Oryctolagus cuniculus: one gene and its partners. The protein of the gene in region 3 interacts with the protein of the main gene of each other region in a pairwise test. Links are inferred from orthologs where the notes say so. Each region holds a gene or a part of one and is shown on either strand. Other genes may lie near its edges.

Region 1 (4,350 bases), on a different chromosome or scaffold from region 3:
GTCACAGGGGCCCATTCTGAAAAGCTGGGCTCGCTCGAAAATGGACGCGGTGCCTAAGTGTGGCTTAGTCATTTAATTTGGGAAGGATCATTGGAAGGTCCTCATGGGGGCACCCTGCTCCCCACCCATGGGGGTACCTACTCTAATCCTTGCTCCCAGGACCAAGGGATTTTAGGAAAAAGGAAGGAATGTGCCATGGCCTGCCCCCGGGGCCATCCATGACTCTCCGGGACATTCCAGTCCTAAGCCTCTTAGGCCGTGGAGAAGTTCAAACTAGAAAACCCAGTTTTGGGAGTACAGCGGGGACCACCTACCTCCTTGTGCCTGATCTAACGCCCCCTCCCCAATAAAAGCTCTTGTTTCCAGAATACAAGCTGTTACCGGGCGACGGGGAGCAGGGGTGCTCTGGCAGATGCTGGAATAACCCCAGCGGGCTCTTCAGGCTGCTGAGGGCCCCAGTCCGAGGCTTCACGCCCCTCGGGGTTCCCAGTCTGGGCTCCAGCAGGGTGACTGCCACAGGGCACAGCCCGAGGGCTGGGAGCTGGGGACTCTGTGCTTTCCCCTGCTCTGTGAGCCGCTGGCAGGGCCCATAGGTCTTCCTGGTCCACTGCTCACCCCATGTCCACAGGACACTATCTGGTTCCTGAGAATGGCTGTGCTGGAGGGGAGAGAGCCCAGGAGGGTGGCAGCCCAGGGTCACACGACAGGCAGCTTCTTTCCTGGGAGAAGGGCCCTTGGAGGGTCTCCTCCTCCCGGGTCAGCCCTTGTGGCCTCTGCATCTCCCCGCCCCAGCCCACCTCTGTTTCTCTCCCAAGCCCCCCAGCAGCCAGGGGGAAAGGACAGGGGACAGGGCAGGTTCTCTCCAGTGCCTCTCCTGCCTGCAGCTTTGCGCTCTGGCTGGACCTCGCCATTGCCCTAGCGCTGCCTTTTCAGCAACTAGACAGCAAACTGGTTTCCTCCCTCTGGCCCTGTGGGATCTCAGAACCCACTGGGAATCCAAGAGAACACCCAAGCCTTCGTTTTCTCCGAAAAAGGGGCTCGCATATTTTTAGATTCAGAGAATTCCTAAATCAGAAAATTCTGGGGCTGCAGTTTCAGCCTGGGGCGCCCAATGCCGCGCTCCCGGCCTCAGGGCTCTGTGTGGCCGCCGCGGAATTGTTCGGGGGCTGGTCTCCGTCAGCGTGCGGAGACCCCGTTCGAGAGCAGCAGCTGGGTATGCGGGGACCTTGCCTTAACCACGAAGCCCGGGAGAAGCCGCGGGAATGTCTTTATTAGACTCTGTGAAGGGCATCTGGGGTTCCCAGGGGAGAGTGAAGCCCGACCCGAGCGGGCGAGGGCAGGCCGCCGTGGGCTGGGCGCACCGTCCCGCGCTGCGGCGGGCGTCGGGGTCCGGGGCGAAGAGAGCCGGGCTCTGGCCGAGGTCTGCTGCTGTTGTGCGGCATCGCTGCCCGAACGAGCGAACGAACGAAGCGGTTTCGTTTAGGACAAATACCCTCTTGACGCGAAGCCGCGGCAGAAGTCCCGAGCCGCGCAGAGGGGCCAGCACTTCCGCCGCTGTTGGGGCCCCCATCCCCGGACGCAGCCGGAGTGCCGGGCCGCCCTCTCGCCTGCCCTCGGCTCCCCGAGGCCCCCTATGCGCCGCGCCGCCGCAAAGGACTGCGAAGGATTCCAGGGCTGCGCCCGTCGTGGGGCCCGGGCCCGCGCCCCCGAGGCTGCTGCCCTCTTGGGATGCCCCGGGGCCGAGGCGCAAGGTGAGCTCCCTGTTTAGGTGAGGTGGCTCCGGGTGACGGCAGCTGCGGCCATGCACCGGGCTAGGAACGCGCTCCTCGCGCTGCCTCGAGGGCGCCCGACCTTCCGAGCGTCGCGCACCTTCCGCACCGCCGGCTGCACCCCGTGCTCGCCGGGATCAAAGAGCGCAGGACTCGGCCGCCACCTCCGCACGCCCCTCCACCGCGGAGACCCCGCGCCCCTAGAGCCCGGCGTTTCTTACCCAACCCGGGCAGCGCTGCGTCGGCGGCTCAGCGGCTCTGGGCTCGCCCGCCGCGGACTCTGGCTCAGGTTTCGGCTCCGGCCGGGGCCCCGGATCCAGCTCTGTCTCCAGCTGTGCGCGCTGCCTCGGCCCCGGCTGGTTCGCTACATCCCAGCGCGCAAGGTCGGGGCTGCCTCGGCTCGACCCGCTCCTCCTGCCGCCGCCGCCCGTCGCCTGCGGGGAAGGCGGGGACACGGGCCGGGGAGGCGGGAATGGGGGGGGGGGAGGGGAAGGCGCCGGCCGGGACCGGCGGGGAGGGGGCGGCGCGCTGTCCCACGGGCCAGGGGTCCCGGCCTCCCTCCGGGCGCGGGCTGAGGTCCGTGCGGCTAGCGGCCGGCCGGGGCAGCAGTCCGAGGAGCGCCGGGGGACTGCGCGCGCTGCGGAGAGGCCCGGCCTCAGGCGGACGAGGCCGCTGTGGATCCCAGCCCAGCCCCGACGCGCATTCTCTCCGGGGCTCAGTTTCCCACCTGGCACGTGAGGGGCTGGGCCTAGCGTGGGTCCGGCTGGAGTTTCCCGGGGTCCGGCCAGGTTCCAGCCAAGCTGGGGTTTGGAGAGTCGACCTTGCCCCTTTCTGCCCAGCCTGCGGGTCCAGCTGGGTTTGCAAGTTATTGGCAGCGAAGAGTCGCTGCGCAGAGCTTGTTGGCCACCGAGGTTTGAGGACAGATCAGGCTTTCGGTGTGTGTGACGGGGGTGCGGGGAGGGGCAGCCGGCCCCCTCCTCAGGGCCTGGGCTGTGGAGGAAAGAAGGCGCCGAGTGCACGAGTTCAGGCGCTCATGGCCTCTTGTCCAGTGCCCGCGCCTGCACACCCTCTAGCGATCATCCTTGGGCCGGGAGGCCTCGACCCATGTGGTCCCTAGGCCTGTTCCTGGCTGGCGGCCGCTGGGAGATGGGCAGGACCGAGCGGGAAGTGGGAGCCGACCCTTCTCACATTCGCGACCACCGGCTTCCCCCGCGTCGCCACTCATCCGGAGCCTCGTTGGGGAAACCAGTTGGCCGAACCTGCTTCCCTAAAGCGCCGAGTCTGCGCCTGCAGCTGCGGGGGGCTGTGGGATGGGACAGCGAGGCGGGCTGTGGCCTGCCACTCTCGGGGAGCAGAGCGGCCAGCCTGCCCGCCGACGGCCGCGGGCTCCGGGGCCGCGGCCAGGGCGCAAGGTTCCGGGAGAGGGCAGCGAGGCGGCGGGCATGAATGTTTCATGAGGTGCAGTCCGCGGCGGTGCCTCCCCGCCGCCTGGTGCTCGCCGACAGCTGCCGTGAGAGAGACCGCACGGCCCCGCGCCCGCCCTGTCTCCTTGCTCATCCGCGCCTCCGGGGCAGCCTGGCCCGGGCAGCCGACCCAGGACCCGCGCCCCGACCTCCGAAGGTGAAAGCCGACCCGAGCTCGCCTGGGTCCCTGCAGCCTGTCGTGCCGTTGGAGGGGAGTGGCGTTGTCCCTCCCGGCAACCCTCAACAGTGGGGACCGCTTTAGGAAGCCAGTGGGCTTTCGGGGCACACAGGGTCGTTAAGGGTTAAGGGACCAGTCTCTGGCGCCTTTCTTGCAGACCTGGCCCAGGGACTGCCCCGCGCACGTGCAGCCTGCTGACCGCCCTGCGCCATGGGGATTCCAGCCTCCCCCTTCTCTTACCCCCCTCCCCCCATGTTTTATGAGTGAAAGTGGCCTGGTGGTGGCCCTGCCCAGAGCTGCTAAGCCAGGGCGCTTCTGACCTGGAGCTTTCGGGCATCTTTGGGCTTAATGGAGGCAACCACTGGTGCCCCCCTACAGAGGGCTGCACAGGCGCCTGGCTGGGTTGGCTTTGACTCACCCACCCCTGCACACTAACAGTTTTCCAGGTTTTGTTTCCAGCGGGTGCCTCTGTGTGTGTGTGTGTGTGTGTGTGTGTGTGTGTGAGAGAGAGAGAGAGAGAGAGAGAGAGAGAAAGAAAGAGAGAGATTCTCTGCCTGCTCTTGTTCCCAAGGAATCTTCTGTGGTTGCAAAGAAATCCTGCCTCTGGCACCTGATGGCCTGAGCTGGGATCTTTGCGTCTTGGACTGGCTGTGTGGCTCTGGGCAAGTCAGAGAGCCTCACCCAGCCTCAGCTTCCTCATCTGTAAATGGGGCGAGCAGGGGATCCCCTTCTTTGAGACACAGACAAGATGATGGAACCGAGGGGCTGGCCCCAGGTGGAGCTGGGCTAAGGGGCACAGGCACCTGCCAGGTGGCTTGACTCTTGTTTTTGCTTCCTTCTTCCCCAGGGTGGCTGTGCTGGCTGGTCAGGTAGGAAGGGACCCCTCTTCTGATGGAATGGACTTGTCTCCTTCCCCTGCTGTATTGCTAGGGAGCGTCTG
Region 2 (3,605 bases), on a different chromosome or scaffold from region 3:
TTGATGTTCTTCACTGGGTACACGAGCCTGCTCTGAATTCTGACCCAAGAATTTATCAGCCCTTGCATTGCTAGGTCTTGTGCTAGGTACACCCTGTATAATGTAAGTTGTGTAAGGCAGATGCGATGCGGTATACGAGACCTTTGTTGCGAGATGGAATCTTGATGGGAAAACAGTCCATCTTGTGGTGGGCTGTGCTAAGATTCCTGTTTGTGCAACAATTAGAGATGCCGGCTGGTGTGACATTGGCCAGCATGAGCCCCTGCTGGAAACAGTGCTGGGGTTACACAGATTGTTTATTCTCCACTGAACATCTTTTGCTGGATTTCAAGTCCCAATAACAGCAAGATGAATGTTTCCCAGTCTTCAGACTAATACGGGGCAACTGGATAAGCATCTTCAGAAAATTATTCACGTGTTTATTTTTATTGCATCTGGATATTATTGGCCATAGTGCAATTGATGCAAATTAAGGGATTAGCAGTCCATTAGTTGGTGTTGCTATAGCTGCCTTGGAATTTTCCAGAAGTCAGGTTGCCTAGAGGAAGTGATTGCAGGAATTAGAAACAAATGCAAGCTGAAATTCTGACAGGGCCCTCAAGGCCTGTTTGCCTCTTTGAACTTGATGTTAGCAGTCGTCATCAGACTTTAATAAGGCCAGCGTGTCTTGTTCAGTTTTACATATTGTAACAACATGCAGGTTTCCCTGAAGCTGACAGAATGTGTATATGACATAGCAATTACAAACAAATAAATGTGGCCCCTCTGTTAGGGTTGTTTCCACATAGAGACTGGTGTGTGGAGGTGATTTATTTCAAATACAGACTTTAAAACTCTGCACAACTGATATAATTTAAAAGGCACATACATTCCTAAAACATAAAGAAAATAAAAGCAGTGACTTTAGTTTTTAAGAAAACTTCTCAATGCATTTTGGAGTGGGCGGGGCATTGGGTCCGTCCATCTGTTGATCCTGTTAAACAGAAACTTCAATGATTTTGCACAGGGCGGGTGTTGTCCTCTGAACTCTCCTCTCACGATCTCTGAGAATGTGGATCTGGGCACGTTAAGCATTTCTCCGGTTTCCGAAGCAGAGCAGGACCATCTTCTCCCTTGTTCTTGGGATCAAGATCCCCAGTTTGCTGCCCCAGTACAGACCCATGGGAGCTCAAGACAAGTTTTGTCCCAGCTTTGCGTAGTTAGTTAGAGGGTAGCAACCCAATTCAATGGATGAAACTCAATCGGAGCTTTTGGGCCTGTTGGGAAGTCCCAGCTAATTCTTGGGACTGGGTGAGATAATACATACTGCCGTTCTGACCACCTGGACCTGAGATCATTGTGAATCTGCATTGTCACAGGATATTTAATCCCGAGTCAAGCTATGAAAGGTTCCCAAGGCGGGACACCAAACTTCACAGAGAGCGCCTCCCTGCCCCTAAGCTGGAGATAGGGGTTTGGGGGTCATAGAATTCCCCTAATACAGATGGATTTGCAAGGAGAGGTGATGTGTTGATGGAAGTCCTTATGCTACAGTTTTCTGAAGATGCCAGCACACAGCAAGATGAAAATAGACCAAAAACATCTATTGTCAACCGTCTAGCTGGCCAGTTGTCTGAATTTACAGAGCTTTAGAAGCTTGAGGCGTAGCCAAGTTGGAGGCTTCGTCTCAGATTTTTCGTATGGAATGTTCCAGCTCTTGACATGAAGGGATCCTTAAGCCTGGGAATGTGGCTGTGTGCTATGTTTCTCAGTGACCACAGTTTGCCTTTCTCCTTGCAGCCCCCAGTCCCCAGCCAGACCTCCTCGTACTCCTGCATGCTGCCCACCAGCCCGTCAGTGAATGGGCGGAGTTACGATACCTACACTCCCCCACATATGCAGACACACATGAACAGTCAGCCAATGGGCACCTCGGGCACCACTTCAACAGGTGAGCTACTCCTCGCTGCAGCCCGCACACAGGGGGCTTCTACAGCTGCTTTTGCCAGGTCATCTCCTTTTTTTTTTTTTTTTTTTTTTTGGACAGATAGAGTGGACAGTGAGAGAGAGACAGAGAGAAAGGTCTTCCTTTTGCCGTTGGTTCACCCTCCAATGGCCACCGCGGCCGGCGCGCTGCAGCCAACGCACCCCACTGATCCGATGGCAGGAGCCAGGTGCTTCTCCTGGTCTCCCATGGGGTGCAGGGCCCAAGCACTTGGGCCATCCTCCACTGCACTCCCTGGCCACAGCAGAGAGCTGGCCTGGAAGAGGGGCAACCGGGAAAGAATCCGGCACCCCGACTGGGACTAGAACCCGGTGTGCCGGTGCCGCTAGGTGGAGGATTAGCCTATTGAGCTGCGGCGCCGGCCTAGGTCATCTCCTTTTAACCAAAGTTTGTCTTTAAAAAAAAAAATAACCTCTTAACCCTGTGAGGGTTTGTTGAACACTTTGCTGCCCTTGTCTCCAGGGAAAATGGCAAAGGTGAATCCAGTTAAGCTAGCTGTAGGTTGATGCTTTATAGGCCAAAATGATGTTTTTCTTGACAGAGCCTGAGACTAGGCTTTCTGAGGACAGATGATTGGCCAGAGTTTAACACGAGAACCCAGCCAGCAGCTGGGTTGAAACTTCTTGGCCTCTTTACTCCTCAGTTCTTTCTGGAGGAGAGACTTGGAATTCAATAGGTCCATCTGAAGGTACTTGAAATTTTTTTAGAAAAATGGAATGAAAAGGTAAGTTTATTTTGGTGCAAAGAAATCTTGAAATCTATGCACTTTTGGTAGGACACATTTTTCCTGAACTTTTTGAAGTATGCTCATGTAAACAGATGTCCAGTTTTGCAGGTGCTTTTTTTTTTTTTGACATATTTTTAATTTAGTGAAAAAATTGTTGGGACATTTGACAGATTCTTCTTTTTTTTAACTGATAAATTCATATCCATACCTGTCTCTCAAAGGGAATATCTACATGGCTATTTCTTTCATCCATTTCTAGGACTCATTTCTCCTGGTGTGTCAGTTCCAGTTCAAGTTCCCGGAAGTGAACCTGATATGTCTCAATATTGGCCAAGATTACAGTAAAAAAAAAAAAAAAGGAAATATTGTGATAACGCAGTCAGTGACTATGTGGACACGACAGTTGGGAGTTCAGGAAAGGAAAATGGCTGTTAGAAGCACTTGGGTTCTGCATCCGGGTCCTGTGTCATACCCCTGGGGAAATGGACTTGAAACAAGGACCTTTGCATACACAAGGCACGATATCAGTTGGAACAAATCTTCATTTTGGTATCCAAACTTTTATTCATTTTGGTGTATTATTTGTAAATGGGCATTTGTATGTTAATAATGAAAAGAAAAAAAAAAAAAGAACAATGTAGCCTGGATGGATGTTTGATCTGTGTTGGTCATGAAGTTGTTTAAAAAAAAAAAAAGGAAACCATGATCAACAAATTTTTTTTTTCCACGAATTTAAGTTTTATCAAGATATATCGAATACTTCTACCCATCTGTTCATAGTTTATGGACTGATGTTCCAAGTTTGTATCATTCCTTTGCATATAATTAAACCTGGAACAACATGCACTAGATTTATGTAAGAAATATCTGTTGGTTTTCCAAAGGTTGTTAACA
Region 3 (3,855 bases):
CTTTCTCTTTCTCTTATGTTGAAATTCAATTTAAGCCTATTTTTAGCTTTCTGTTGACAAGTTTTTTTTTTCTGTTCAGTTGAATAGAGTTTCTTCATCTGTTTCCGTGGAAGTTGACAACCCAGCATCCTCCTTTAGAGCCCCTTTGCCTCAACTAGCAGAGTCTCCCACAAAGACCAGGGAGAGGCTGATCCGAAGGGAGGGAGCTGGGCTGGCCTGGGGCACTGGGGAAGGACGGGGGCGCTAACTGTGCCCAGCAGCTCCTGAGTGGCTGACTTGCCCAAGAAGCTCAGGGTAGGGCTGGAGTCGAAGGGCCTGGGGTTCACTGTCCCCGTGCTCCTGCCGGGAACTGCCTGCCTCAGTGCCCTCAGCCTGCTCCTGAGAAGTAGGCTGGGAGCAGCTCCAAGAGGAGGGGCTGACAATGAGTGTGCAAGGCAGAGCCCAGGGTCGGGCCATGGGGAGGTTGTGCTGCAGCCGGGTGGAGCGGAGGGGCGCAGACTCTACAGCGAGCCCACGCTAGGATGTGTTTGCGATTGGTATGTGTTTAAGCATGTTGCACCCTCTTGTATGTTTTGAGTTTGGTTTGGGAAAGGAGCAGAAATCAGCTGGTGCTGCTGTGAGTCTGTGCGTGTTGCGTAGGGTGTTGGGGTAAGTGTGTTAAGTGTGTTCGCTGACACGTGTGGGTGTGTGGGGCTGTGGGGGAGGATGAGGAGTGTGTGGTGGCATTGGTATGTCTAGAGTACAAATGTGTTGGGCTCCTGGGTGTGTGGAGTTAGTGTGGTGGGGTTCTGTGTGTTAGGGAGTCCCAGTGGGTTGTGGGGTGGGGTGAGGGGCCCTGTGAGTTGGGGTAAATGGAGTGCTTCTTTGCTTAATCATTCCATAGATATTCTGAATGTGTCATCCATGCTTGGCACTAGGCCAGGTGCTGCTGAGGGTGTAAGGGTGAGCTAAAGCAGGCACGGTCCTTGGTCTCTCGAACCTAGAGTCTAGTTGGGAGGGGCAGGAGGCATGAGGAATGAGGCCTGGATGGATGTGTGTGTGTGTGTATGTGTGTGTGTGTGGCAGCTGCAAGGGTGTGCCTTGAGTGTGCATTTCTGGATGGGTGTGTTGGAAGGGTGTCCATGTACTGGAGGACTGTGGGTAGGTTGAAGGTGTGGGTGTATTGACACAGTTTGGGGATGTAGGATGCTAGGGTGCATGGCGAGTGTGTGTGGTCAACATGGGAAAGTGTGTGTTAGAGGTGCCTTTCAGGTGGGGTGCATGTCGGGGTATTGGCACCTGAGTAAACATGGAGGGTAGAAGGTATACGAGGGGCTGGAGGGTGTGCGCTGGGCTGTTGCTGGGGAGCAGCAGGGTTCGAGGACTGCTGCTGCAGCTGTGCGGAGCATCTCCTGTGACCTGAGGATGTGCCACTCATGTCCTGGTACCACTTGGGCCAGGCCACCTGCCCCTTCACCCCGTTCGCTCCACACCCTCCACTCTGTGGTAGCCCTGGCTCCTGGGGTGGGTATGGCTGAGAGGAGCCTGGACACAGGATGTCCTGGGGGAAAGGTGGGGCCGGGGCTCCAGGGCTCCTGTCCGGCTTTTCCTCTCCCTGAGAGGAGCTGGAGGGTGCCTGAGGACTGCAGGCAGAATACAGGAGGAGGGCTGTCGGGCCGAGATCTCCATGTCCAGCTGCCACTTCTCCTTCCTGCTGCCCTGTCCACACACCCAGGGGCCTTAGCTGCCTCTTGAATCAAAGTGAAGTCAGTGCTGGCTACCTGGAGCCTGCAGGAAGTCTGGCCCTGATAGAGGGGGAGAAGGAAGGTGTTTGCTCAGGGAGTGACTTGGGGCCCAGACTTTCTGCGTTATGCTCCCCGATCTCCAACCTCTCTCACACACACACCTGTGCATTCAGGTACACATACTTGTCTCTAGATCCCTTGGGCTGCTCTTTGACCAGCTGGACTCTGGGGGTGGTCTGGGTCCCCCAGAGTTGGCGGGGTGGCTGGTTTTGGCGGCCTTTACCTGTGGTGTGGAGTTGGGGGCTGGGGTGGCAGGTGAGTGGGGGGGATGGTCCTTGGAGCTGGCTGGGGCTGGGCTTACCAGCTCCACCTCCTGCAGGCTCTGAAGCGGAAGCCAGATTTGTTCCTGTGTGAACGATTGGATGTCAAAGCTGTGTTCCAGTGTGGTAAGTGGGGCCGGGAGGACAGGTGGGCCTGGGGCTCCCCTCGGAGGATCCTTAGGCCCCACCTGATCTGCCTCTTCCTCTCCTGCAGCTGTGCTGGCCCTCAAGTTTCCCGAGGCACCTACTGTCAAGGCCTCCTGTGGCTTCTTTGTGAGTTGCAAGCAGACCCCTGACTCCTCACCACCTCTGTGGCCTGCCCTGCCCGGGACTCAGCGGTCGACGTTTGCAGGTCCAGTCCTCAGGGAGAGGCGGGAAGGAGCTGGGGCTGATGGGTCTCTCTGTCCTCTGCAGACAGAGCTGCTGCCTCGGTGTGGGGAAGTAGAATCCGTGGGGAAAGTGGTGCAGGAGGACGGCCGTATGCTGCTCATAGCAGTGCTGGAGGTGAACGGGGGCAGGTGGATGTTTGATCAGGGCAGGGTGGGGTGGGGAGAGGGGTTGGCTCTTACTGCTGGGGCAGCTGGCTTTCTGGGAATCGTAAACCTGTAGGTCCCTAAGCTCTTGGACTCTGTTTCTTCCTCAATTAAATGGCTGGCAGTTATCAAGGCTGCTGTGAGGATCAGCTGGCTCTCCAGAAGCAGCGCTCACTTGTGATGTGCGGTGTGGCTCAGGAACTATTCTGGAGGGCCCGGGGGCATGGTTAGGCCTCCTTGCTGCGGAAGGGACAAGGCCCCAGTGTGCTGAGAACCCCTCTCCCTCAGGCCATCGGGGGCCAGGCCTCCCGCAGCCTCATGGACTGCTTTGCCGACATCCTGTTTGCCCTGAACAAGCACTGCTTCAGCCTCCTGAGCATGTGGATCAAGGAGGCACTGCAGCCCCCTGGCTTTCCCTCTGCCCGCCTCAGCCCGGAACAGAAGGACACCTTCAGCCAGCAGATCCTTCGGTGAGCGGAGCTGGGGTGGGCCTGGGTGTGGGTGGGGAAGAGGCGGTGGGCGGTGCTCACCTGCTCTCCTCTCCCTCCCTCCCTCAGCGAGCGAGTGAACAAGAGGCGAGTGAAGGAGATGGTGAAGGAGTTCACACTGCTGTGCCGGGGGCTGCATGGCACAGACTACACAGCTGACTACTGAGCGGTGCCCCCTTCCCACCCACCTCTTCACCTCACCCCTCCCTATGCCCAAAGAGTAAATGTGGACCCTCACTGCTGCCTCTGCTTCCTTCCTGCTGCCGCCATCATGTAAAGAGAAGCCTGGGCCCAGAAGGACTGAGGGCAAGACGGGAGGATGTTGGGCCCAGGCGTTGGGAGGGAGTGCCCGAGAGGAAGTGAGGTGTGTGCTCACCCTCTAGTTCCTAGGGCACAGGAGGTACTGCTGTAGCCAAGCCGTTGCCCTTGGGGTGAGATGTGGAGGGGAGAGGCTGTGGTATTACCAGCCACCCCCCAACATCCATTTGGCTAGTCCCAAGGCACATGCGTGGATATGTTTATTTAATCAACAGTGCTGAGTACTAGACCCCTAGCTGTGTCCTGTACAAAAGCTGACGTAGTCCGTGATCACCATAGTAAGCTGGGAGAATGGTGAGAGAAGGGCTGCATGGAGGAAGTTTCATTTCTGGTGGGAATAGAAGTCTTCCTAGATCCATTCTTGAAGAATTGGGCTGGAAGTGGGTGGCTCTGTGTCCAGTTGGGAGGGGAGAAACAGAGTGGGGCTTTGAGTTCCAGAATGGGTTTCTGGCATGGGTTACACCAATCACAC

The links.
Region 1: the proteins of IPO13 (region 3) and PITX1 interact in binary tests that used the Homo sapiens proteins (3 or more experiments, as listed by UniProt). The link is inferred for Oryctolagus cuniculus from reciprocal best matches to the Homo sapiens genes IPO13 and PITX1.
Region 2: the proteins of IPO13 (region 3) and PAX6 interact in a two-hybrid assay, tested with the Homo sapiens proteins (2 studies listed by BioGRID and IntAct). The link is inferred for Oryctolagus cuniculus from reciprocal best matches to the Homo sapiens genes IPO13 and PAX6.

The regions. Positions count from the first base shown.
Region 1 is NC_091437.1:23,204,664-23,209,013, forward strand, and holds the start of PITX1 (pituitary homeobox 1), read right to left. Parts: upstream 2,820-4,350; 5' UTR 2,497-2,819; intron 2,204-2,496; 5' UTR 1,991-2,203; intron 1-1,990. UniProt on the Homo sapiens protein: Sequence-specific transcription factor that binds gene promoters and activates their transcription. May play a role in the development of anterior structures, and in particular, the brain and facies and in specifying the identity or structure of hindlimb.
Region 2 is NC_091432.1:34,187,384-34,190,988, forward strand, and holds the end of PAX6 (paired box protein Pax-6), read left to right. Parts: intron 1-1,779; coding exon 1,780-1,930; intron 1,931-2,970; coding exon 2,971-3,056; 3' UTR 3,057-3,125; downstream 3,126-3,605. UniProt on the Homo sapiens protein: Transcription factor with important functions in the development of the eye, nose, central nervous system and pancreas. Required for the differentiation of pancreatic islet alpha cells.
Region 3 is NC_091438.1:129,090,325-129,094,179, reverse strand, and holds the end of IPO13 (importin-13), read left to right. Parts: intron 1-2,103; coding exon 2,104-2,170; intron 2,171-2,258; coding exon 2,259-2,317; intron 2,318-2,458; coding exon 2,459-2,548; intron 2,549-2,865; coding exon 2,866-3,047; intron 3,048-3,134; coding exon 3,135-3,231; 3' UTR 3,232-3,302; downstream 3,303-3,855. UniProt on the Homo sapiens protein: Functions in nuclear protein import as nuclear transport receptor. Serves as receptor for nuclear localization signals (NLS) in cargo substrates.